Kluyveromyces lactis: one gene and its partner. The protein of the gene in region 1 interacts with the protein of each later gene in a biochemical or structural test. Links are inferred from orthologs where the notes say so. Each region holds a gene or a part of one and is shown in the gene's direction. Other genes may lie near its edges.

Region 1 (12,770 bases):
TAGCAAATAAACAAATTTCGGGCAGTTTACTACCCCCAAAATTATTGCATCAATCGTGGCTCTGAAATATTACAAACCCGCTACTTCCATGTTCGGTAACCTTCTCATTGCAACTACAAAAGTACTGCGATTGCCATTGCCCTAAGTAAGTTATATGAATGACTCTTCTATCATTTCTATTATAGCTATTCGCTTTATTTTTCTATCACTGCTTTGAGAAGGATATTTTGGCTTTTAACTGTGATTAGTGATGAGGTTAAGTCTATTATATATATATGCATGTATATTTGCGTCTCTGCGCTATAAAGTTTCTGTATCCTTATAACTTTAGGTCAGGTTAAGGTTGGTATATTCGACGGTTGTTGTATACTGAGCTAAATTGAATTAGGACAGGACAGGACACTATGAAGGCCGCAGTGATGAGTATTAATCGTCAGTTTTCCAGCTCTGCTGCAACTGGGTTGCGCAAGATTAAAGTTCAGACTCCCGTTGTGGAGTTGGACGGTGATGAGATGACTAGAATTATCTGGGATAAGATTAAGAGTAAACTTATCTTACCATATTTGGATGTGGATTTGAAGTATTACGATCTTTCCGTGACGAACCGTGATGCCACTAACGATCAAGTTACTGTGGATTCTGCTAATGCCATCAAGAAATACGGTGTTGGTGTGAAATGTGCCACTATTACACCGGACGAGGGTCGTGTTAAAGAGTTCAATTTGAAAAAGATGTGGAAATCACCAAATGGTACCATCAGAAACATCCTTGGTGGTACTGTTTTCCGTGAACCAATTGTCATTCCTAGAATCCCAAGATTAGTGCCTGGATGGGAAAAACCTATTGTCATCGGTAGACATGCCCATGGTGATCAATATAAGGCCACCGATCTTGTCGTTCCAGGTCCTGGTAAGTTGGAATTGGTTTACAAGCCAACTGATGGATCCGAGACCAAGACTTTGGAAGTTTACGACTACAAGGGTCCTGGTATCGCTTTGGCCATGTACAACACAGACGAATCCATCCGTGGATTCGCTCATGCCTCTTTCAAATTGGCTATCACCAAGAAATTGAACCTTTATCTTTCCACCAAGAACACTATCTTGAAGAAATACGATGGTAGATTCAAGGATATCTTCCAGGAAATTTACGATTCCGAGTATAAATCCGAATTTGAAAAGTTGGGTATCTGGTACGAACACCGTTTAATTGACGATATGGTTGCCCAAATGATCAAATCTAAGGGTGGATTCATCCTTGCGTTTAAGAACTATGATGGTGATGTCCAATCCGATATCGTTGCTCAAGGGTTCGGGTCCCTTGGTTTGATGACCTCTGTTCTAGTGACCCCAGACGGTAAGGCCTTCGAAAGTGAAGCTGCTCACGGTACCGTCACTAGACACTACAGACAATACCAACAGGGTAAAGAAACCTCAACAAACTCCATCGCTTCCATCTTCGCTTGGACTAGAGGTTTGGCCAAGAGAGGTGAACTAGACAACACTCCAGAAGTCGTCGAATTTGCCAACTTGTTGGAAAAATCCACTTTGAACACTGTCCAAGAAGACGGTATCATGACCAAAGATTTGGCCCTTGCCTGTGGTAACACTGACAGATCAAGTTATGTGAACACCGACGAATTCTTGGATGCTGTTGAAAAGAGATTCAGAAATGACGTTAAATCTCTGCAGTGAAAATGCTTTCAAGAACAGGAGAGTACGTCGATGAATAAGATTACACACATATATGGGCTCTTTTCTTAATAGTAATATTTCTATATAAAACATATAAACGCACAAATAACTACACTAATCCCTCTCTATCCCAAATACCTATTAGAAGTTTCCTTGCAGACTACGGTAGCATAATCCTAAATTGTCGTTCGTTCTATGAATAATAGCTTCTCTTGTCGCTGTCCTAGTAATTTCATTACCCTGCCTCTGTCACATGTACCAGGCTCACACACCTCATTTTTCACCCGATGTTGTCTGTCCTTCCTCAAGTCCAAAAATCGAAAGTGGACAACATGTTCAATATTTTAACAGTTACAAAAGAGAAACATATAAAGAAACATGCCTGACAATTCTTGTAGTTAATACTTGAAGTATTGTTTTTGTTTAGTTGTATTAGAGTACCCAGTCGAGCTTTGTTAGCAAATCACACGCTGTTATATTTTCTTTGGGGAAACAGGAACCTTTTGACTGCTATTATCTATAACTAATAAAGACCGGATATATTTATACCAATTGCTCAAGAAATAAACATAAGATTATACTATAAGAAATGTCTATTGAAAACTCTGTTGTTGTTCCAGCGTACCACGAAAAGCTAAATATCAAGCCATTGACCACCAGGTTATTCCAAGCCTTGGGTAAAGAAGGTTCCAATATCACTGAATTGATCTTCGTCGATGACAATTCCCAGGACGGTTCTGTGGAAGAAGTTGAGGCTTTGAAGAAGCAAGGTTACAACGTCAGAATCATCGTCAGAACCGACGAAAGAGGTCTTTCTTCCGCTGTCTTGAAGGGTTTCCATGAAGCCAAGGGTGAATATTTGGTTTGCATGGATGCGGACTTGCAACATCCACCAGAAAGTGTTCCACAATTGTTGGATTCTTTGAGAACACATCCATTCGTGTTGGGTACCAGATACGCTGCTGGTGTCGGTATCGACAAGGACTGGCCGTTGTACCGTAGAGTCATTTCTAGTGGTGCTAGAGCTATGGCTAAACCTTTGACTTCTGCCTCTGATCCGATGAGTGGGTTCTTCGGTTTGCAAAAGAAGTACTTGATTCACAAGGATGCCAAGAATATTAATCCAAAGGGTTTCAAGATTGCCTTGGATTTGTTGGTTAAGTTGCCAATTCCTCCACAAGAACCTATTGGCGAAGTTCCTTTCTTTTTCGGTGTCAGAACTGAAGGTGAATCTAAGTTGAGTGGGAAGGTCATCATACAGTATTTGCACCAATTGAGAGAGTTATACACCTATAAATATGGTGGCAACAACCTACTGCTGTTCTTCCTATTCTGGACTATCCTAGCACTGTACATTCTGTACCAGGCTTACCACTTGGTATTCTAGTTCTTGAGATACTGAACAAGAACGAACTTTTCTTTATCATAGCAAACAATAATAAACTCTTAATAACTAAATATCCATAAAACCGTATTTCACAAGTGTTCCTAGAATATTGTTCAATGCCCAATCAACTAAAAGGTGGTTTAGCTCTAGTTTACTTTCCTTAATATCTGGGGAATAATACCACCTGACTCAAGGATGATCTTCGAGAAACATTCTCGTTCTCGTTACCCTGATGATGCATAGAAACTTTAAAGGGACGCCCATGCACAAATGATCAAAGAAGTGTAATTTAAAGGATACTAACCAATAGCAATTAATGAGGGGGGGTATGTCGAACGACAAGCAGAAGACTCAATAATCAACTCACAAGTGTTAGTTTATGGGTAAAGTACTTATAAGTTCTTTGAATCTAGGCTATCTGATTATCCGTGTGTTTGCGTTTATTCGGCTTTTAAACAAACATTGTGAGAGTGCAAAGGTTGAAGGGTAACGTGGCACTGATATGAGAGCTGTACTCTTAAGATTGAATGATAATGGTGAGCCACAAGTCAGTTGTTCTTACAACCATGGTGTGCTAACCATGCCATCGCTTCCTATTCTACCGAATAAAGCTCCAGAAGATCCATTGTACACTGTTCGTTTGGTTGTGGCAGCAGGCTGCCCCGTTGCTCGAGATGGTTTAATTTGGACTAATTGTCCCGAAAGCCATGACATCGAATTTGATAGGAACAAATTCCATAAGAAATATATCAAGGCAAGCTTCCATAAAGATGATTTTATTGATTTGAAAGTATTTAATCCGGGGTCTTATTGTTTTTACCTCTCTTATCGTAATGAACAGGACCAGTTGGAAACAACTAGGAAGTTTTATTTTGTGGTACCACCAGTCCTTTACTTGAACGATAAATTTGTTCCCTTAAATTCAATTGCCTTACAGAGTGTAGTTTCGAAATGGATGGGGAAAGATTGGGACCCAATATTTCGCAAAATCGATAACAAGGGATATAACATGATCCACTTTACACCTCTTCAACAAAGAGGAGAGTCCGATTCTCCTTATTCTATCTATGACCAATTGACCTACGACTCCAACTTTTTTAACACCGTAGAGGATGTGAAGCAAATGGTCCAAAAGTTGCATAAAACTCACAACATTCTCGCATTAACAGATGTGGTTTACAATCATACTGCTAACAACTCTCCATGGTTGTTAGAGCATCCAGAATCTGGTTACAATCACATTACTGCACCACATTTACTCCCTGCTATTGAATTAGATAAAAGTCTACTTGAATTCAGTGGTTACATGAAGGCACTTGGATATCCAACGGATATTTCATCTGTAGAAGATCTTATCTCTATTATGGATGGTATCAAAATTCATGTTTTAGGCTCTTTGAAATTATGGGAATTCTATGCAGTAAACATCGATGCTTTATTGAAAGAAGTTGCAGATCAGTGGGATTCGACTCCATTGGAAGCTATAACAGTTCCTGGTGATGTTGAAGATGACTTGGTAAAATTGGCCGGTTTCATTCGTAGCTCTTGTACTAATGATGACTTTGGTTCTTTATCCACAAGATTTGCAAATACCTTGATAATATCCAAGTTTATCACAATTTTGAGACAACTTCATGGGGAAGAATGGAATGGCAATGTTGCAAATGAAGCACGCAAAATTTTGGATGAATTGAATTTACCCTTGTACAAGGAATACGATGAGGACGTTCGCGTAATCTTAGACCAATTATACAATCGCATAAAGTATTTGCGGATTGATGATCATGGTCCAAAGATGGGAAAAATCACTCCTGAATCGCCATTAACTGAGCCTTATTTCACCAGATTGCTTGCCAAAGATGGTAAGGAATATGCATTGGCTAACAATGGCTGGATTTGGAACTCTAATCCACTAGTAGATTTTGCATCAAAGGACTCCAAGGCATACCTACGTAGAGAAGTGATTGTCTGGGGGGACTGTGTGAAATTAAGGTACGGTTCCGCACCTGAGGATTCTCCGTATTTATGGGAGAGGATGTCAGAGTATACAAGACTTCAGGCAACCATTTTTGACGGGTTTAGAATCGATAATTGTCATTCTACCCCACTTCACGTGGGCGAGTACTTCTTGGACCTGGCAAGAAAATATAATCCAAATCTTTACGTAGTCGCTGAATTGTTTTCGGGATCAGAGCAAATGGATTGTATTTTTGTAGAGAAGCTTGCAATTTCATCTTTGATAAGAGAAGCCATGCAAGCTTGGTCAGAGCAAGAACTTTCAAGTTTGATTCATAGACATGGAGGAAGACCGACTGGTTCTTATAAATTCATGCCACTTGATGATTTCCCATATAGTCCCGAATTGGAACTCGATGAAGATTTTGTTGATTATAACAACCGTTTAGGCGATGAACTTAAAAGTCTCTCCGAAATTAAGATCCCAAGATTTTTATCTGCCGCTCCACCTCATGCTTTATTCATGGATTGTACTCATGATAACGAAACTCCTTATCAAAAAAGAACTGTAGAAGATACTCTACCAAATGCCGCTCTCGTTGGATTGAGTTCTTCCGCTGTCGGGTCTGTTTATGGTTATGATGAGATATATCCTCATTTATTAGATGTTGTCAAAGAGAAACGTCAATATTCAGTGGTTAAAGATGATGGTATATCCATTGTGAAAAAGAAATTTAATGCAATTCGAGCAACCATAGCAACGCAGAGTGATGATGCAGAAGATTCCGAAATGCATGTTCACCATGATGGTCAGTTTATCACGTACCACAGAACTCATGCTAGACTCGGTGATGGCTACTACTTAATTGCGAGAACAAAATTCAGTGAGAATGATTATGATCAAAGGTTACCTACCGTCACTCTATCGGGGTCCACTGCAGAACTTCTTTTCAGTTATTCCCTAGTTAAAGATGGCGGTCTGCCTAAAGATGATGACAAGATAATCAAAGGAATCCCCACAAAATTGGTGGAATTGGATGGATTTGTTATTCAATATAATGAAAGTTTAGGTGATACCACGATCAGCTTACCACACGACTTCCCTGCAGGTTCGATTGCTGTATTCAAAACAAAACAATGCGGAGTTACCGAAGACTTAGACGAATTTATTAGAACTGGTGCTTTAAAAGCCTCTGAAAAGTTGAGTTTACATTCATTGAATGCGGTTTTGTACAGATGCAGTGCAGAAGAGTCTGATGTCAGTGCTAACAGAGGAGGTATATATACGGTGCCAGATTATGGTCCACTAGTGTATTGTGGGCTCCAAGGATGGGTGTCTGTCTTAAGAAACATCATATTTAGTAATGATCTCGCTCATCCATTAAGCAAAAACTTGAGGCTAGGTCATTGGGCTCTGGATTACGTGGTAGACCGCCTTGACTATTATAGGGAAATGCCTGGGATTTCTGAAATCCAACAGTGGCTTAAAGCAAGAATGGATCGCGTCAAGAAAGTTCCATACTACTTGGTCCCGCGTTTCTTCGCATTAGTAATTGGTATTGCATATGAGGTTTGCAGATTTAGAGCTATTTACCAGATGTCTGAGAATATTGGTCTCTCAAACCTTTTTGTGCAACGCCTTGCAATGACCTCGGTGCAAATGGTTTCTGTGATGACTTCAACATCTTTATTACCTGATCAAAATGTTTCGTGCATGGCTGCTGGTTTACCACATTTCAGTACACACAATACATGAGATGCTGGGGTAGAGACGTATTCATTTCTTTGAGAGGGTTACTTTTGGCAACAGGACGTTTTGATGAAGCAAAGAACCATCTTCTTGCTTTTGCTAAAACATTAAAGCATGGTCTCATTCCAAACCTTTTGGACGCTGGTAGAAATCCTAGATACAATGCAAGAGACGCGGCATGGTTTTTCGTTCAGTCAGTTCAAGATTATGTTCAAACGGTTCCAAATGGAGAAAGCATCTTGAAGGAAAGGGTCTCAAGAAGATTCCCTAAAGATGACCGTTACATTCAATGGACTGACCCAGAGGCTTTCAGTTACGAATCTACTATTGAAGATATTCTCTATGAAATCGTTTCGAGACATGCCAAAGGAATCAAGTATAGAGAAGCAAATGCCGGCCCAAACCTTGATAGAGTTATGAAGGATGAGGGTTTCAACGTTGAGGTGAAAGTCGACTGGACAAATGGATTAATATTTGGTGGATCACAGTCAAACTGTGGTACCTGGATGGACAAAATGGGTGAAAGTGAGCTAGCTGGCTCAGTTGGTATTCCAGGGACACCAAGAGATGGTGCTGCTATTGAAATCAACGGGTTATTAAAAAGTTGCTTGAGATTCTTAAGTGAGTTACACGAGAAGGGACTCTTTAAATACGATCATGTCGAAAAGCCCAATGGAGAAAAGGTTTCGTTAAAAGAATGGAATGATCTAGTCTTAACAAACTTCGAGATGAAATTCTACGTTCCATCTTCTGAAGATGAAGATGATCGATATGATATCGATGCCAGTTTAGTGAACAGAAGAGGAATTTATAAGGATTTGTACAGATCAGGTAAACCATACGAAGATTATCAATTGAGACCAAATTTTGCCATTGCTATGACAGTGGCGCCAGAACTTTTCACCCCTGACTATGCATACAATGCGTTGAACATTGCAGATGAAGCCCTACGGGGCCCTGTTGGAATGAGGACGTTGGATCCAACGGACTATAACTATAGACCGTACTACAGAAATTCCGAAGATTCGACAGATTTCCACACCGCGAAAGGCAGAAACTACCACCAGGGCCCAGAATGGGTATGGTGCTATGGTTACTTTTTGCGTGCATACCATCACTTCCATTTCCTCTCAAACCCATTAGCTCAAAATCCTTCAAAGACCTTGCCATCGTCGTACCTCTACCAACAGCTATACAAGAGATTAGACGGACACCGTAAATGGATTAGAGAAAGTGAATGGGCGGGATTAACAGAATTAACAAACAAAGACGGGGATATTTGTCAGGATTCATCTCCTACTCAAGCATGGAGTACTGGGTGTCTCCTAGACTTTTTCTACGATTTATGGGACCGATATGAAGATTCGCCTTAATAATTTACTTTTCTCTGCCTAACCACTTACCCTTAAGATTATAAAACAGATAAAAACAATAAAAATCATAAGAAATATATATATGTATATATATGCAAGATCATAGCCAAACTCATACTCATCATACTTATATATTATGCATTTTAAATTTACAAATAACCGAAAACTGCCCCTCCGGTTCTGTTGTCTGGAAATCTTCCTCTTAACCACAAGGAACTGTGGTTCTTTCTCCACTGTCATCCCAAATCTAACGGTTTTCGTTTGTTGATAGTAAAACAAGCCAGAGAAATCCTAAAAAATAAAATAACAAAATAGATAATAAGGAATTTGGATATAAATAATAACTACGTAAATAAGGGAAACCCCTTGAAAGTTGGAACATTGTGAGTCATTAAGCACCAGTTATTTGCCAAAGCAAGTTTTCACATAGAGAGAAAGCTTTTACAGGACAAAACGGTGGAGAGAAAGCTTTTGTAAGTGGTAGGTTCAAATGAACAGAGCGGCTTGAATAAGACATTTTTACATTTGGTTTAATATTAGAGTGAAAGAGATTAGTTGTTCTTACTGCTTTAATAACACTGACCATAAAAAAGAACAGGCAAACTTCAGGATGTCAGAAGGTGAAGTTCAGGTGATAGAACTCATAAATAACTTCTTTCTTAAGTCTGCGCTTCTACTTGAGCAGTCCAAGGTAGCACATAACTTTGATACGGAGGAGGCGCTGAGGGATGGGAATCATTTGTTTAACATTGAAACTCGCGGCGACCCTCTGTTGGAGGCTCAGATCCAGCCCTGGATCACGTTTGATGGAGTGAAGACAATGCCGCCATTAGTAATAGAAACGTACTTGGATCTACGAGCTTTGCAACCCAACCATATGGTGTATCTTCATGACGCGGATGGTAATCCATGGATGGTTTGTAAAGGGGGCAAGAAAACTGAGATTGTACTGGAAAGATGGCTTGTAGAACTTGATAAGCAGACGATAGATGACTCCATCGATTCAAATGATCCTGAAAACTTGCATAAACAATTGGTATTGTTGTTCCGCTACTTGTACACGCTTACCCAACTCTTACCTGCCAACGACATCATTACCAAGCCACACAATTCACAACAGCCCGCACTTATAAATGTTCAAACTAGACTACTTGACGGTTCTAAGCCTATTCTCTCTAAGGGGAGGGTCGGTTTAAGTAAACCTATTATTGCATCATATTCCAACACAATGAATGAAACAAACATTGCTTCACATCTAGAACAACGAAAGATTACACCGATAAAAACTACATTTGGCTCGTTGCGTATCACGGTGTCTTATAGAAAAGATGTCGACTTTTATGTTATTGATTCAGATGATTTACAAAAACGATACATGACACCATCCTTATCTAATGAAACTACCACGGTACCTGATAGAAGGGCTTCATCCAATTGTAGCAGATCTATGTCAGTTTCCCCCAAGACAAATACCATCAATGCGACGCTTTTTCCCCTAGAAGGTTCATCGGCAAGAAGGCAATCCATCTCTTCTAAACTGCAACCTTTTAAAGTTGGATCAGTTGGGAGTGGCTCGTTTGTACAGAGTGGCAGTGCCCAGTCGACTACGAGTCTTGTTCCAAGTTTATCAAGGAATGTTTCGAGTTCATCAGTGGTTGCTGCGTTGAAAGTTCAACGTGGTAGTGCCGGGTCTACTATAGTAAATGGTGATGTACCACCAGAACTTTCTAGTGTTGGTAGCGGATCGAAATATTCTTCATCTTTTGGCAGGATCCGCCGTCATTCTAGTATTAGAAGATCAGAAAGTTTTGACAGGACCGCTAAACCAAGGAAATCCACTGAAAACCCACCGGAAGATTTGTTAGAGTTTGTGAAACTCTTGGAAGACAAGAAAGAGTTGAACATGAAACCTAATACAATATTGCCGCAACAAGATATCTCAAACTCATTGATGCGATTTCAGTCCATGAAAAGTAATAACGATGCTCTTAGCGATAACCTTTCGATGAGTATGTCCATCGACCAGCCTAATGTTAGGTTTGGCTCAAATTCACATTCTCCAATACCTTCATTTTCACCAAATTATGGTTCCATTCCCTCCAGGCTATCTCAAGGTAGTAGAAACAATAGTAATGCGGAATTGATTACCAGCAGGAAAAGCTCATTGGATAGACACAAGCATAATCTATTGAGCAGAACTGGAAGCAACGTTGACATAAACAGGAGAGGTTCTGTAGGAACTATGGAAACGACTAATGAAGATTCTAAAGAGGACGAACAGTCTCACATGAAAGGAATGCACTTCAGCAATGAAGCAACCATAAATAAAGATGACGATGAGGATGAAATGTTAATGAAACGTTCATTTAACGCTGGAACATCTACTACTGAGCAGGTTATGGGGTCGCCCAGATCTATAAGAAGTATTTCTGTAAGTTCTTACCCAAGAAACCAGCTTCCATTGAAACATCTCAACCTCTCTCACCCTACAACATCGGCTACCACTACCCATGCAAAATTTCATAAGAGTGAAATGAGCCCCGACCCACTGCACACAGAAGGAGCACAACCGCATACTAGCTCGCAACATCATAATAGCTCTCAAAAAAATGATGAAGATGATGATTTGTTATTTGTTATGAGTGATATGAATCTAACCAACTAATAATGACATCAATAATTAATATTAATACAATGGTTTCACGACCTCAAACCATTCTTTCAAAAATGCATTTTATAAATAATTTATACTTGAATATATATATGTGTATATATATAGATATAAACATCACATACAAACTTCACCTGAAATTTTTTAAATCTTCCTAGCGTGGTCATTCTTAGAGGATTTTTGGTTCTCGTCCTCAAGAATCTTCATCTTTAATTCATGAATCTTGTGCTTTTCAATATGAGTATCGAATTTTTCTTTTGATTTGAATGTTCTGTTACAATTGGTATATGGACATTTTCTTTTCTGACCCACTGTATTCAATAACAATGATTTGGTTGTCTTCCCTGACTCAATATACTTCTTTATCTTTATTTCTGCTTCAACTGATCCAAGCTCGTCAACTTTCCGTTTCTTTGAGAAAGAGGGGAAATCAAGTAACGTTTTTTTCCCTGAACTAAAACTGTCCTCCGTTTCTGATATCTTTATATCTGTATTCACTTTAATATTCGTATCTTCATCAGCGTCCGTCGGCAGTAATAGCAATTCTGGATCTACATCTTTGTGACTTTCTTCATAATGTTGTACTAGCTGAGTTTTCTTCGCAAATGATGTATCTGGACATGAAGAACATTTCCAATTCTTAGTGACCAAACTCTCGTCATGAATCATCATATGATTCCGTAAACCTGATTCAGCAACACAAGGTTTCCCACAAATAGGACATGGTAATTTCGGATGGCATTGTTTAATATGTTGTTGTAAAGAAGACCAAGTGGAAAATACGTCGGTACATGAAAGAAAGTCACATTGGTACATTCCGGTAGATTCTGGGTTGTGATGCTTATCTATGTGATTCTTCAATCGATAAGGCCTTTGGAACGTCTTGTTACAGTGAGGGCAGGTAAGTTTCTTTTCGTGAACGGACAAGATATGCGATCGGAGTTGTGGATGTTTGTAGAATGATTCGTTACATCCCTCATATGAACAGTGGAAGGACTTCGTATGTGTAATTTCATGTCTCTTTAACTGTTGTCTGGTTGTGACACCTTTCCCACATATAGAACATGTGAAAGGTTTATCATCTGTATGAGAGAACATGTGTCTATTCAGATGCGATTTTTTCGCAAATTCTTTGCCACAAGTGTCGCATTTAAACGGTTTGATTCCATGATGCACGGTGAGCTGATGCTCCGTGAGCAAACTCGGTCTTGTGAACGATTTGTTACACCCTTGATAATCGCAGAAATATACTTTAGAACGCTGTGACGATGAAACTGACACAGTGCTAGTCACACTGGCCATACTCATAACACTATCCATGGACTCTGATCTGGTTAGCGGCGGTGTAGGTACACAACATTGTTGATCATCATCGTTTTCACCAACAACATTCTGCCGTACCTCATTTTCCTTATTGTATGTCGGCGCGACCATCACAGATTCATCAGTAGCTACTACAACGTTGCCTAAATAGTCCATAACTCGGTTGGGTATTCCGTGTATCGGCGTGAATCTCCTTACCCAATCGCACCTCATCGCCTGGGTTTTTTCTATGAATTTCATTTGAATCTTATTTTGTATTTTCAATTAGGGACGTAAAACTGTAATAATCATACAGAATAGACAGGGAAAAGAAGCAGCTACCACCTCCTTCTGAGAACTTCAGTAACTGTGTACTACTAGCGATTCTCAAAGGTAATGCAAGCAAGACAAATAGGATACCATAAATGGGCTGAACCAGTAACATATTCATACAGTTCACCACCTCATCTCGAAAAGTGTTGATAATCGTTTCTTTTACTGTCACAATCGATTTTTGAAAAATTTGGAAAAATTGGAAAAAGCTTCAAATGAAAATGAGCTAGCGAGTAACACAGTAACACGATGTGGACGATAAATTGTCTTATCCAGGTCTTTATTGTTGATCAGCGGCATCAAG
Region 2 (11,243 bases), on another chromosome or scaffold:
ATTTCCCCGTAATATGCTAGCTGTGCATAGAATACTCCTTTCGCATTCTTGTCCACAACTTCCTCGAAGTATTCACCTGGATACTGAACCGGTAGCACAACATCAATGATCTTTCTGAATGTTCCTAAATTGTTAGCGTAAACGTTATCAATCGTAACCAATGCTCTACCCATCTTCTCAATTGTCTATATATGGATACCTTACCTGCTGATTCTCAACGTACAGAAAGTACTGGTTTCTAGCAGTAATTCTTGTCATTGTATCTCTCTTGAAGATATTATTTCTTCGGATTATAAGTTCTATGGAATTTTCAAATCAACTGTGTATCTCAGGATCGAAACAGCGAACAATGTTAAAATCGAGAGTGTAATACCAGATACCAGCCTTAGATACACTGTTAGAATTTCCTCTAAACTGCCAAAACAACGAAACCAATCTAACATCGATGCTCAAATGCATAAACTATCATAAACGGACATTCCATACCACTTATTTCCAACTAGCAAAGGGAAATGTGTCTTGGAATATGGCATTGGATCCCGCTATACCCAAAGACAGATCGGTAAAAGCATTTAAAACATCATTGCAGCATACGATAGCAAACAATGCATGGCCATCTGACTCCTCACGAGAGAGAAGAGTACTTTTGGAGTTAATAGCTAAGTTTTCGATTCCTCATGATACACTAAAGAAGCAAATAAAAAGGCTACAGCTATTAATTTTGCAGAAGCGTATAAGTGACGATGACATACACAACGCAATTACTAAGGTTAATTCCAATCAAATCATTAATGTAGTGACACCAAAACCGATCAATTTGCAGAAGGAATTGAAGAACCTTGAGAAAACGGCAACCTTTCACGAACCACGCCAGCGGCCAAAACTACAGAGGCCATTACATCCAACGCCATCACAGCACGAAGTAGGGGTCAAATCTTCAAATAACAATGTGGCTCACCCTAAAAAGGACACTGAAACTGAAACAATTACGGACAAAGACATTGAAGCTTTGAAGAAATTCCTTGAGAGAGCAGAAACTCAAGAGAAACAAATTAAGAAGTTCGTTCTTGAACAACAGAGAAAATATAAATGGTCTTCCAACCAAGGGCCAGCTTCACGTATATCATCAGGATCGTTGCTATTTCAGGAACATTTACCTTCTGTTCGATTGAGGAAGAATTCTTCAGTTGGCTCATACCTTTCGAAATGTGAAAGATATATACACCCGTTTGCGCCGACCGAAGTTAGAGAAATACTTCTCTATGATGTTACTAAATCGAAAGAAAAGATCGAACCACCAGAATCCACTATTCTTGTGCATGTACAAAAGAAGGACCTTTTCGCAGTTGTAAATGGCGGTAGAATAGCACCTGATCAGTTGTTGGCCGTAATAAATCAATACGAGAACGGAGGGTGGAAGTTGATAGGCGATGTGAACAGAGATACTTACAAGATTGTCTTCCAGAAGAATTACATGAGACCAGCACTCATAGAGACCAAAGGAAAAATAGCTATCACTTTATTTGGTATTACCCTAGGATACATAGCCGTTGTCCAACCACTAATCGACTATATTAATTATTTCAATCGATAAATTAATATTGTATACTGTACAATCCGAATGACACTCATATAGGAAAAACAGAATTAAAAATGTATGAATAGTTAATCTTTATATATATATCTATAGTACAATACCCTTCTGATCAACCGTGTGTGTAGAAAATGACATCCGAAATTGATCGACATTATCAGTTCATTTCAATGTCTTTTAATTCACCAATAGGTTTTACAGGTTTTGTTCCCCCAAGAACCTTTTCGCCTTTATCATTGATTCTTATCAGTTTTAAAGTACTCAAACCTCCAAAAGTTTGATTCCAAGCTCTTAAAAAGATCACATTTTCAGGGTCTGTCAGATCTGGGCACAAAAAACCTGACTTGAATTCTTCCATTTCCAAATCTCTTTTATGTTGCAAAAGCTGTTGCCTACCAGTGGGAGGTCTATTCTGTCTTCTCTTAGATTTTAGTTCATTTAATTCATTATCATCGCGGGCAATAAACTCTTGAATTAGTACTGCAGTTTCCTTATAATCGAATACTTCTTTTTCCTTCAAAGAATCAGTTTTAATGGCTGACTGTACAAAAGTCATACGCGCTAACTCGTTGGATCTTTTTTCGTTGTGAGCTCTCTTTTTTGCCTGAACTTTCTCTTCGCGAAGGGTAGCTCTGTTTAGCTGCTGGAATTTGCGCCCTTTTGGGTGAACAGTAAATTTCTTACCCTTTAATCCTTTCTGGATTTTACCCAACGATTTTGTGACAGGCATTTAAAGCGATTTTAATTTGCTAAGATAATGATATTATACCCCGTCTCTTTCTTACTACCAATCTTGCCTGAGTTGATGTGCTCACTAGCTTTTAACATTCAATTTTATAAAGGAGCTCATCGCTGATCTATAATTTCAGTTGCTCATCGCTTTTGAATTTTTTTGCCGAAATCCATGATGAGCAAAAAGAAAAGTTTTTATTGATTTAAAAGTCACGTGATTTGAAATTCAATAGTCCAAATCTATCAGTCCCATCAAGAGATCTCTCATATCATTATCCTTGAGACCGTTCATGTATTTGAATTTACTGAAGTATACCGGACAGTCTTTAGATTGGCACTTGAGTGCAATTTGGTCCAAAGGTGCCATAGCATCTTTATGAAACTTGTATGAACAGGTTTGACAGGTCCTCATAACAGAATGCATCTTAGACTGTTTTAGTCTGACTGACTCTTCCAAAAAAAGGGTGGTGTTGCTTTTATCGATCCTGCATTCACCACATATAGGACTAATGAATTTTGGGTGAACTTTCTTGCGACAGCGCAGACAAGATTTGCCTTTGACGATTGAAGTCAAAGACCTTCCTTCATGGCTGCCGTCATCAGAGTCTACTTTTAGAGGATTAAGAGTATGTTTCATCGATATATACCAATCCATGATATCAACTCCTACTAACTGGAAAAACCGCTGAAGAGGAGGTATAATGTTTTTGACAATGTAGTATGTATAATCCAACCTAGACGTTTTAGACCTTAAGAAAGCCTCCGGTGAGAGGCATCTAGAGCTCAAAGTTTCACCTATTTTTCCCATTTTCACGACATACGGTACTCTCTGCTTGTATTGGGGTTCTGTACGTGCATCTTCTTCCATCATTTGCATGGCAATTTGGGCACCAGGGGGAGCAGTCTTTTCACTTTTATAATGGCCTAGCTTAACTTCTCTAGCGAAACAGAAATCTTGAATATTAACTCTGCCGGTGATAATTTTGTCAAATTCTCCAATTAAGTATTCTTTTACCATGGATAAATCAGTGGTTTCAAACATAATTCTAAGTGCCTTTTCCACGATTTTTTGTTGTGCTGGTGTTCCATCCCTTCGAACAGTTTCTATACCCTTTGCATCGAATTTTGGTTCTTTTTGATATTCAGACTCATAGGAAAAGCCTACATAACGTTTCTTGGTTACTAAAAAGCACGGATGATACACTTTCTCAAACTTCAACTCTATGGGTTTCGGATTCTGTCTTGTTATTTCTTCAGCGATCTGCCTTCCGATTACAAATGCTTCATCTTTCGATTTCCCTGGAAGGTAAACAAATAAACTATCTGTATCTCCATAAACTACTTTAGCCCCCCATTCTTTAGTAGTTTCTATAACCTCGATCGCCCTCTCTAATGTTTCCCTGCCAGTCTGAACTATACTATCTGCAATGTCGGAACATGGCATACGCCCAGAGAATGAAGCAGATGTGTATCCGTACGTGACATTAGCAAGTAATTTTAAGGCTTCCTGCCTATTATCCAACATATTAATAAGGTTATGTTCATCATTAAGTTCCTTCATAGTACTTTTCATTAGAAATCTCGTATCAAGAATGTCCTTTAACATCTTAGCCAAAACTGACTTTCTCAGTTCTTTTTTGACAAAGACGATACCATTTGGTGAGATGGTGATATAATCAGATATTAAAGTTAGTAAATCTTCAGGGATATCATACCTTGTGATACCTATTTCATTATTTTTAGTATTTAATGATTCAACTCTTCCGATAATAGTGCTGTAACAATAATTATATGCCATAACAATGGATGGGTATAATGATTGAAAGTCTAAAACTAATAAAGGACTCTTGTAAAAGGCAGATGAAGGTTCCATCACAAGTGGTATACATTCGAGTGCTTTTTGGTTACGGACCTGCATTCGGCTTGGAGAAATCAGAATGAATTGTTCTGATTTGCAAAGTCTAATTAAAAAGGATTCAACCTTGTATTGTGAGCCACGGTAAAGGACAGAATAAAAGTCAATCCCGATAAGTCTTGCTTGCTCGATGGTTTTTCCAATTATATTCTGAGTCTCTAAAAGCTTGAAATTTACTCGAAGTCTTGTGATCCAGTAAAATAGGAGACACCTTTTTGAAGTTTCGTCCATAGATTCATAGAACTCTGTCCTGGTTTTGTACGAATAAAAAGGTAACCGTTGGTGTAAAACATGAAATGCAATATTTTCTAATGTATAATCGAGAAGATTCAAAGAAGAGCGGAGAGGCCTCCATATGTTTAGCATTTGTCTTCCCGTTATCGAAAATGCTGTTGCGTGAGTGTAACCCCATCTGTCTTTTTTTTTGCTACTCTGGTTATAATCGACTCGAGAGAGTTCATCTTCCACATCATAATCATGTCCCTTGTGACATCTATCAATCAAGTAGCCCCACGAGGAAGAGTGTATTTCGTATCCTGACAAGATATCAGGATCGAAAAACCTCACTAAATCTTCTAATGCATATATCATTTCCAATTCATCGTAATAAGCAGTTATATGAACACTAGGATCGGCAGTTTTCCATGAATTTTCTGTCGAGACATCGTCTAGAAATATCAAAACACCTTCTTGAGTAATATCCAGGTCGAATGGAAAAGTTCCATCTTGCACTTTCCAAAATATCATCCTGACAGCATCATATTTAGGATCTGGAAACTTATCTTCACGAGTATTGACGTGAATTTCCATGGTGAAATGGGTCATTCTATTAGAAGCGTTATTATTTTTTTCTATTTTATTGCTCTTGAACTTGTATCCGAATGGTAGTTCTGGTGTTTTCCCCTCCACCATCGAGAATTTACCTTTGAAAGGCTTCATCGCATTGGCTATTCTTTTAAAAGACGGCTTTGGTCTTATATATTTCCATCTGCTTCTTGCATATACACTTCCTGAAGAAGTTAATGTTGCTGTTGTATCGTTACTACGGATGCTTCTTTTAAAGAGGATATGATCACTTGATAGCTTGAACACTCGACCAGCCATTTCCGTTTGTAGCCTTTTACAATCAAGTGGATTGGAGAAAAATGGATCGTTATACTGAACTTCTTCAATTTGGTTAGCAGATAAACTCTCCTTGATGTTAGCGTGTGTTACGCTAGGTCTGATCATCGGGCGAAATGTTGACTTTCTAATAGCAGATGTTTTTCGTTTTGCCAGTTTCCTAGCAATTGCTTCATTAGCAATATCGTCATGACATGAAGATTCCTCCGCACGTTTGGAACTGACATGTGAAGAGTGCGATTCATTGGAGGAAATATTTAGCAAAATGGGAATATTTTTAGTGTTTGTAGACGCTACTTTTTGTTCACGAACAGAAGTATATTGGTTGTTCAATTTGAATTCTACTTCTGACCAACAGAATACTTTACTACTAGCATTCCTTGGTATTTTGGGCCATAATTCTTGAAGGGCGTCTTTGGTACTTGCAAAAAAATTCTCATTAATGAAAGGATCCACAAAGTTGTCAAAATTTAAAGCTTTTTCTTTGTTAAAAAGGGAAGACATTCGTTTCTTAGCTTCATCAAAGTGTTTCACCAACCTTTCATCTTCTTTCCAATTATATTGTAATTGAGATTCTCGAAATATTTCTTTTAATCCTTCATATTCAGCAAGCCCTTTCCTTTTCCTAAGCAGTTGTATCTCTTTCCATATATCTTTTGTAGAATTAACATATCCTTGATCTGATGTTTGAAGGTCTTTCTTAAGCTCAACAAAATCATGGTGTAAATCCCTGAATTGAATTTCTTCTCTGTTTAAAATGAACTGTGGAATAATATCCATTTCAAGAAAGGTCTTTCCAATTCGATGAAATGGATCTATGTCTAAAACATTTTGATTCGGATGCAAGTGTTTTTTCAAAAAACGTTCCAAAGAGTCCGTGTGCAATATTTCATTCATATCTAGATCAGTTAACAGAACAGGTTGCCGAAAATAGCATTTGGATAGTTTTAACCATCCGCAACCAAATAAGTTATAGTCAGCCATCATTTGCAATAAATAAGGTATATGAGCCTCAAAGACATCCACTTTTGAGGTGAATATTCTGCCATCTCTAAGTAATTCAGAGAGTTTATTACTATATGAACCATTCAAAAGAGTAATTTTATAGTAAGGTTCATATCCTACGTGGTATCCGTAAAATGGAACGCCTTTGACAACGGACACATTAGCAATGTATTTCAGGGAAGTTAGCTTCTCTTTAAAATCTGTTTTGGTAAAAGTTTCAATCATCCGTGTCTCAAGTATTTTGTGCAAACTGGTACATCTATTCCGTATTACTGATGCTTTATCATTCGAATGTCCGTCATATTTGATGAATATGTAAGGGAAAATGCCATGGCAATGAATTAGAACTTTGTGTCCGGTAGATAAACATCCATAGAACCTTAGTACTGGCACCTGAACAAATCGAAGTCCAGGAAGGCTCTTACTAGTTTTACAATCCAATAGAGTTGGGAAGCATTGATAGCTGTCTGAATTATTAATCTGTATGTTGATTTCATTGGAGTCTAAGCTGGAGTCTAAAGAACCAAAAATATCACTCATCTGCAAGTAATCATCATATCAGATTACAGTCACCTTAATGTAGCACAGTTATATCTTCTGATGTAAACGATGTGAATGGTATAAAAGTAATATCCTTGATTAATGGGTGATATACTGTGACCAAACTTCAGATGAGAAATAGCGATGAGCAATCCTGCAAAGTTGGGCTAAACTTGATTATAGTTGGGTATATTAGTATTCATGATTACCCGGATATTGTGATCATTCTGATACGTAATGAATAATCATATTTTAGCTAAAGTGATTCTCGTATACTGGAGTTGTCCGAGATGAAAGTGAGATCTAGTTGAACAACATTCACCGCAAGTTCCTAATCGAATTTAATAGCAAATGTTACTTTAAATTGTTCTAATCTAGATTCTGTGGTATAGGAAGAAATTTGGTGATTCTATAAAATCCACAGTGTGAGGTGTATTTACAATGAATAATGACAACACAAAAGTGTACGTAAGAGTGGCAGGTAAACGACCTGAAAATTTTGTCGAAACAAAACCATTTATTTGGGATTCTCGTCGAGATAAGATTCTATGGACCAAAATCTCAAAAATTGACTCGTTAGAGGATATGGATTGGCAGGAATTGGGGGCTGATTTAGGTGCACCAGAACCCTTTCTCAAAAAACGGAGTTATACTTTATTTCAAAATCAACTAAAAGTTTTATCGAACCAAATAGACGTTACATCTAATACCCGGTCCTCATCAGAGTCACGAAATTCCGTTGACAACAACATTCTCCAAAATTTACAGGCATCAAGAATAATGAATCATAAATTGGATAAGACGGACAACTTAGCCAATAATCAAGAGTCTAGTAGTGAACTTTCGAATTTAAGTGTGAGCAAGTCAGCACTTGAGGACGCATTGATGGATTGTTTACAACTCTGAGAGGCATCTACTACATTTGCATTCAAAAAACCAATTATCCTTCAATATTGCCCTTCTCCGGTTGACGTCAAGGTGTAATATACCCTTGTAATCAATACAGAGCTCTTCTCCCTTCTGCACATCAGTTTGTAGAATGTATTGAAAGACTCTTTCGACCCTCTTTTTCTCCACGTTAGGCACACAGGAATGGTTAAAATATGAGGCCTCCGGATGAACCATATAACCCAGATATTCCCTATCATCGTCCGACTCTGAAGTCTCCCAAATGCCAAATGAGTTTCCATATTCAGAACCAAGGATATGTCTAAAAACTGATGTTGTCATGATATACCTATACTGGGGAGCTAGAGTATAAACCCATTTGAAAACTTTGATCTGAAACTCCAGTAGAACAGGGAATCTCATTATTTTCTCCACTTCATTTGACTGAAGTTTTTCCCACGTATTCCACTTCACACTATTTCGATCCAAATGTGTCATGTTAAATAAACATTCTATCACAAACCTGATACAGGAATAATGATCCTCATCTATCACTGGAAGTTGGTTGGTGGCCTTGGCAAGTTTCATTTTGGAAACTCTAGGCATCCAAGTACTTTCTAAGTCCATCCAACAACTCTCAATTTCCTGATGCATCCGCTTATTATCGTAGTCTTTATACAATTCCGTATCTGTTTCCACGCACAGGCTTTTACCCTGTATCGATTGGAAATGCGTTAATATCATTTCATAATTCAAAATAAGATCAACAATATTCGGTCCACTTAGGAAGAAGTTTTTACACTCTTCAGTACAAAACCAAAGCCCGCTACCTTTGTACTTCTTCTCTAGTTTATGGTTTAACAAGTTCAAATCTAATTTCAGTAGGTCTGCCCAGCTGATCCTAACTTTCATTGGTTTACCACCGTCATATTTCAGGCAAAAATGGCACACTTCCTTACGGAACTCGTGAGAAATACTAGATCCGATCCACTGGGACAAATCTAACAGATGGGTGCCTTTTAACATGCTATTTGAAGCAAAACATGCCCGGCCGCCATATGCTGTACGTTTTACTTCAATTTTGTCATTAATATATACTTCCGCATTCATCCGTGTCCTGTATTATATCTAACTCCCTCACAATTGGCATATATCCATGAATTCTAGTTCGTAATATATAATTCAGAGGATTTTAAGTGTAGATACCTCTGACCAGTTAACATCATATTTTGCCAAGCAGCCCATCTCATTGCATCTCATCGCCTGAAATCAACGCTCCAAATTCCTTTTGAAATTATATCTTCAACTAGATCAGTAGATTTTAAGAGTCACGTGAACTGTAAACATCAGTTCGCGTGGTAGTCTTTCCACTATCGTGTCAAAATTAGATCTTTGACCACAGCAAAAGTAAGGATAGGAAAGGGGAAGGAACTCACAGTTACGACGTAGAAGGAAATCAGAATTTTGCACGTTGTAGTCGCATTATTTGGCTTGCTAAATTTGATTGTTATTGCTCTACCCAATTGCGTTTCCCAGATCATTGAATTGTTTTTAAAACATCATGACACTTTACAAATTATTAACACCTAAAGCATTCGCAGAATTATTATCCAAGGAAACTAAGCGCCGTATTATCCCAGTAGATTCCACCTGGTATTTACCAAACTTGAACAGAAGTGGGAAGCAAGAATTTTTAGATGAAGAACGTCTAAAAGGAGCTGTTTATTTTGATATTGATGGTGTCAAAGACATGAAATCTGAATATCCTCATATGTTACCAGATCTCAGTACTTTCAATAAATCCATGAGTGAATTGGGACTGAAGAAGGATGATATTTTAGTGGTTTATGATAGAATTGGTAACTTTAGCGCACCTAGATGTGCATGGACATTAGCTGTTTTGGGACATGATCCCGTATATCTCTTGAACAATTTCCCTGCCCTGAAACTGTCTGGGTACCCCGTTGAGACTTCTAAAGTGACAAGTTTTACTCCATATGAAATGAGTGAATACGTGTCCGATGTTGATTTGGCAGAGAAAGAAACAGTTTCCTTTGAAGATATGCAGAAATTGGTGTCGACAGGTGATATTAAGAACTACCAGGTTTTGGACGCTAGAAGTCTTCAAAGATTTACTGGTGAGGCGCCAGAACCTAGACCGGGCCTCAGCTCTGGTCACATTCCTGGCGTTCAGCCATTGCCCTTCCTAGAGGTCTTGAACAGTGATAAAACTTTTACTTCAGATCGTGAGGAAATGCTAAAGAAAATACAAGACTTCGTCTCGCAAACCGGCAATGAGTTTGAAACCGATAAACCAACCATTGCAATGTGTGGTACTGGTGTCACAGGTGTCATAATCAAGACTGCATTAGAGATTTCAGGTGTCAAGAATGTCAGACTCTACGACGGGTCTTGGACCGAATGGGTGATGAAAGATGGAGAAGTGGCTAAAGGAAGTTAAGAGAAATACTTCGATAGAATGAGTGATTTCCCATACACTGAATGTAGGGAAGATGTGAAACATGCAGTACTACCTGAAAGAACAGTAGCTCTGCATCCCTGACACTTGAAAAGAACCCTGCGCAAATCAATAATTGCCCACAATTGGTTTATACTATATTTTCAGTATGTATGCTAGGAAAAATCTGTAATGATATATTGATCAAAATTAAAGTGTTTAAGTGTTAGAAAAGGTTTAATTAACATAGAACAAAAGGTAGATGAGCTGATAGCCCGACCATTACCACTCGCAGGAGAAGCTAGAAAAAAGGAAATGGAGTTTGTAGAATTCAGCGAGGTTTCTGAGACCACTAAGACATCGTCTCTTCCGCAGGGCCATGAATGGACCGTTCAAGTTCCAGCAGGATCAAAGCTAACAGTTATTGTGAAGTATGGGATCGCTGAGATACTGGGAACAGAGCTTGCCAACGATGTGCCCTACACATTCCAAGGTGTAATAGTGAACATCTATGCTATTGAACGATCTATGATCGAATGGAAGTGTTTAGAAGAGCTTGAGCCAAAAGTTTCGGAAAATAAGTCATATCATGCCTACATATACAATCTAAATTTTGCATTAGAAAGATTACGACTCTCTAGTTTCAATGGACCTAGAGTACTAATAGTAGGTAACGCCTCAACTGGAAAATCATCGCTAGCTCAAATGCTATGCTCATACGCGTTGAAGATTAGACATTATCAACCGTTGTTAGTGAACTTGAACCCACAAGATGGTGTTTTTTCTTTGCCAGGTTCAATTACAGCGACACCCATTTCTGAGTTGCTAGATGTTGAAAGTTCTATATGGGGTCAGAGTATTACTACAGGTGCTACCAAGCTCCATAACAAGCAACCTCTTGTTAAAAATTACGGCTTGGAAAATATCAGAGATAATAGACCACTATATTTATCGACGATTACACAACTAGCATCGGGCGTGCAACAGAG

What was found.
Region 2: the proteins of ATG13 (region 1) and ATG29 form a complex in vitro, tested with the Saccharomyces cerevisiae proteins (2 studies listed by BioGRID). The link is inferred for Kluyveromyces lactis from reciprocal best matches to the Saccharomyces cerevisiae genes ATG13 and ATG29.

Annotation. Positions count from the first base shown.
Region 1 is NC_006038.1:303,040-315,809, forward strand, and holds ATG13 (serine/threonine protein kinase regulatory subunit ATG13), read left to right. Parts: upstream 1-8,770; coding exon 8,771-10,825; downstream 10,826-12,770. Other genes in the region: isocitrate dehydrogenase (NADP(+)) IDP1, read left to right, coding at 405-1,694; DPM1 (dolichyl-phosphate beta-D-mannosyltransferase), read left to right, coding at 2,284-3,081; PZF1 (Pzf1p), read right to left, coding at 10,976-12,394. UniProt on the Saccharomyces cerevisiae protein: Activates the ATG1 kinase in a nutritional condition dependent manner through the TOR pathway, leading to autophagy. Required for autophosphorylation of ATG1 at 'Thr-226' and its dimerization. May also be involved in the regulation of autophagy through SNF1.
Region 2 is NC_006039.1:851,056-862,298, forward strand, and holds ATG29 (Atg29p), read left to right. Parts: upstream 1-7,349; coding exon 7,350-7,814; downstream 7,815-11,243. Other genes in the region: peptide alpha-N-acetyltransferase subunit NAT5, read right to left, coding at 1-173; MRX4 (Mrx4p), read left to right, coding at 446-1,594; TMA16 (Tma16p), read right to left, coding at 1,752-2,324; REV3 (DNA-directed DNA polymerase), read right to left, coding at 2,553-6,908; SET6 (Set6p), read right to left, coding at 7,803-8,906; TUM1 (thiosulfate sulfurtransferase), read left to right, coding at 9,358-10,257; cleavage polyadenylation factor subunit CLP1, read left to right, coding at 10,570-11,243. UniProt on the Saccharomyces cerevisiae protein: Plays a role in autophagy. Functions at the preautophagosomal structure (PAS) in order to form normal autophagosomes under starvation conditions. Also plays a role in mitophagy and regulation of filamentous growth.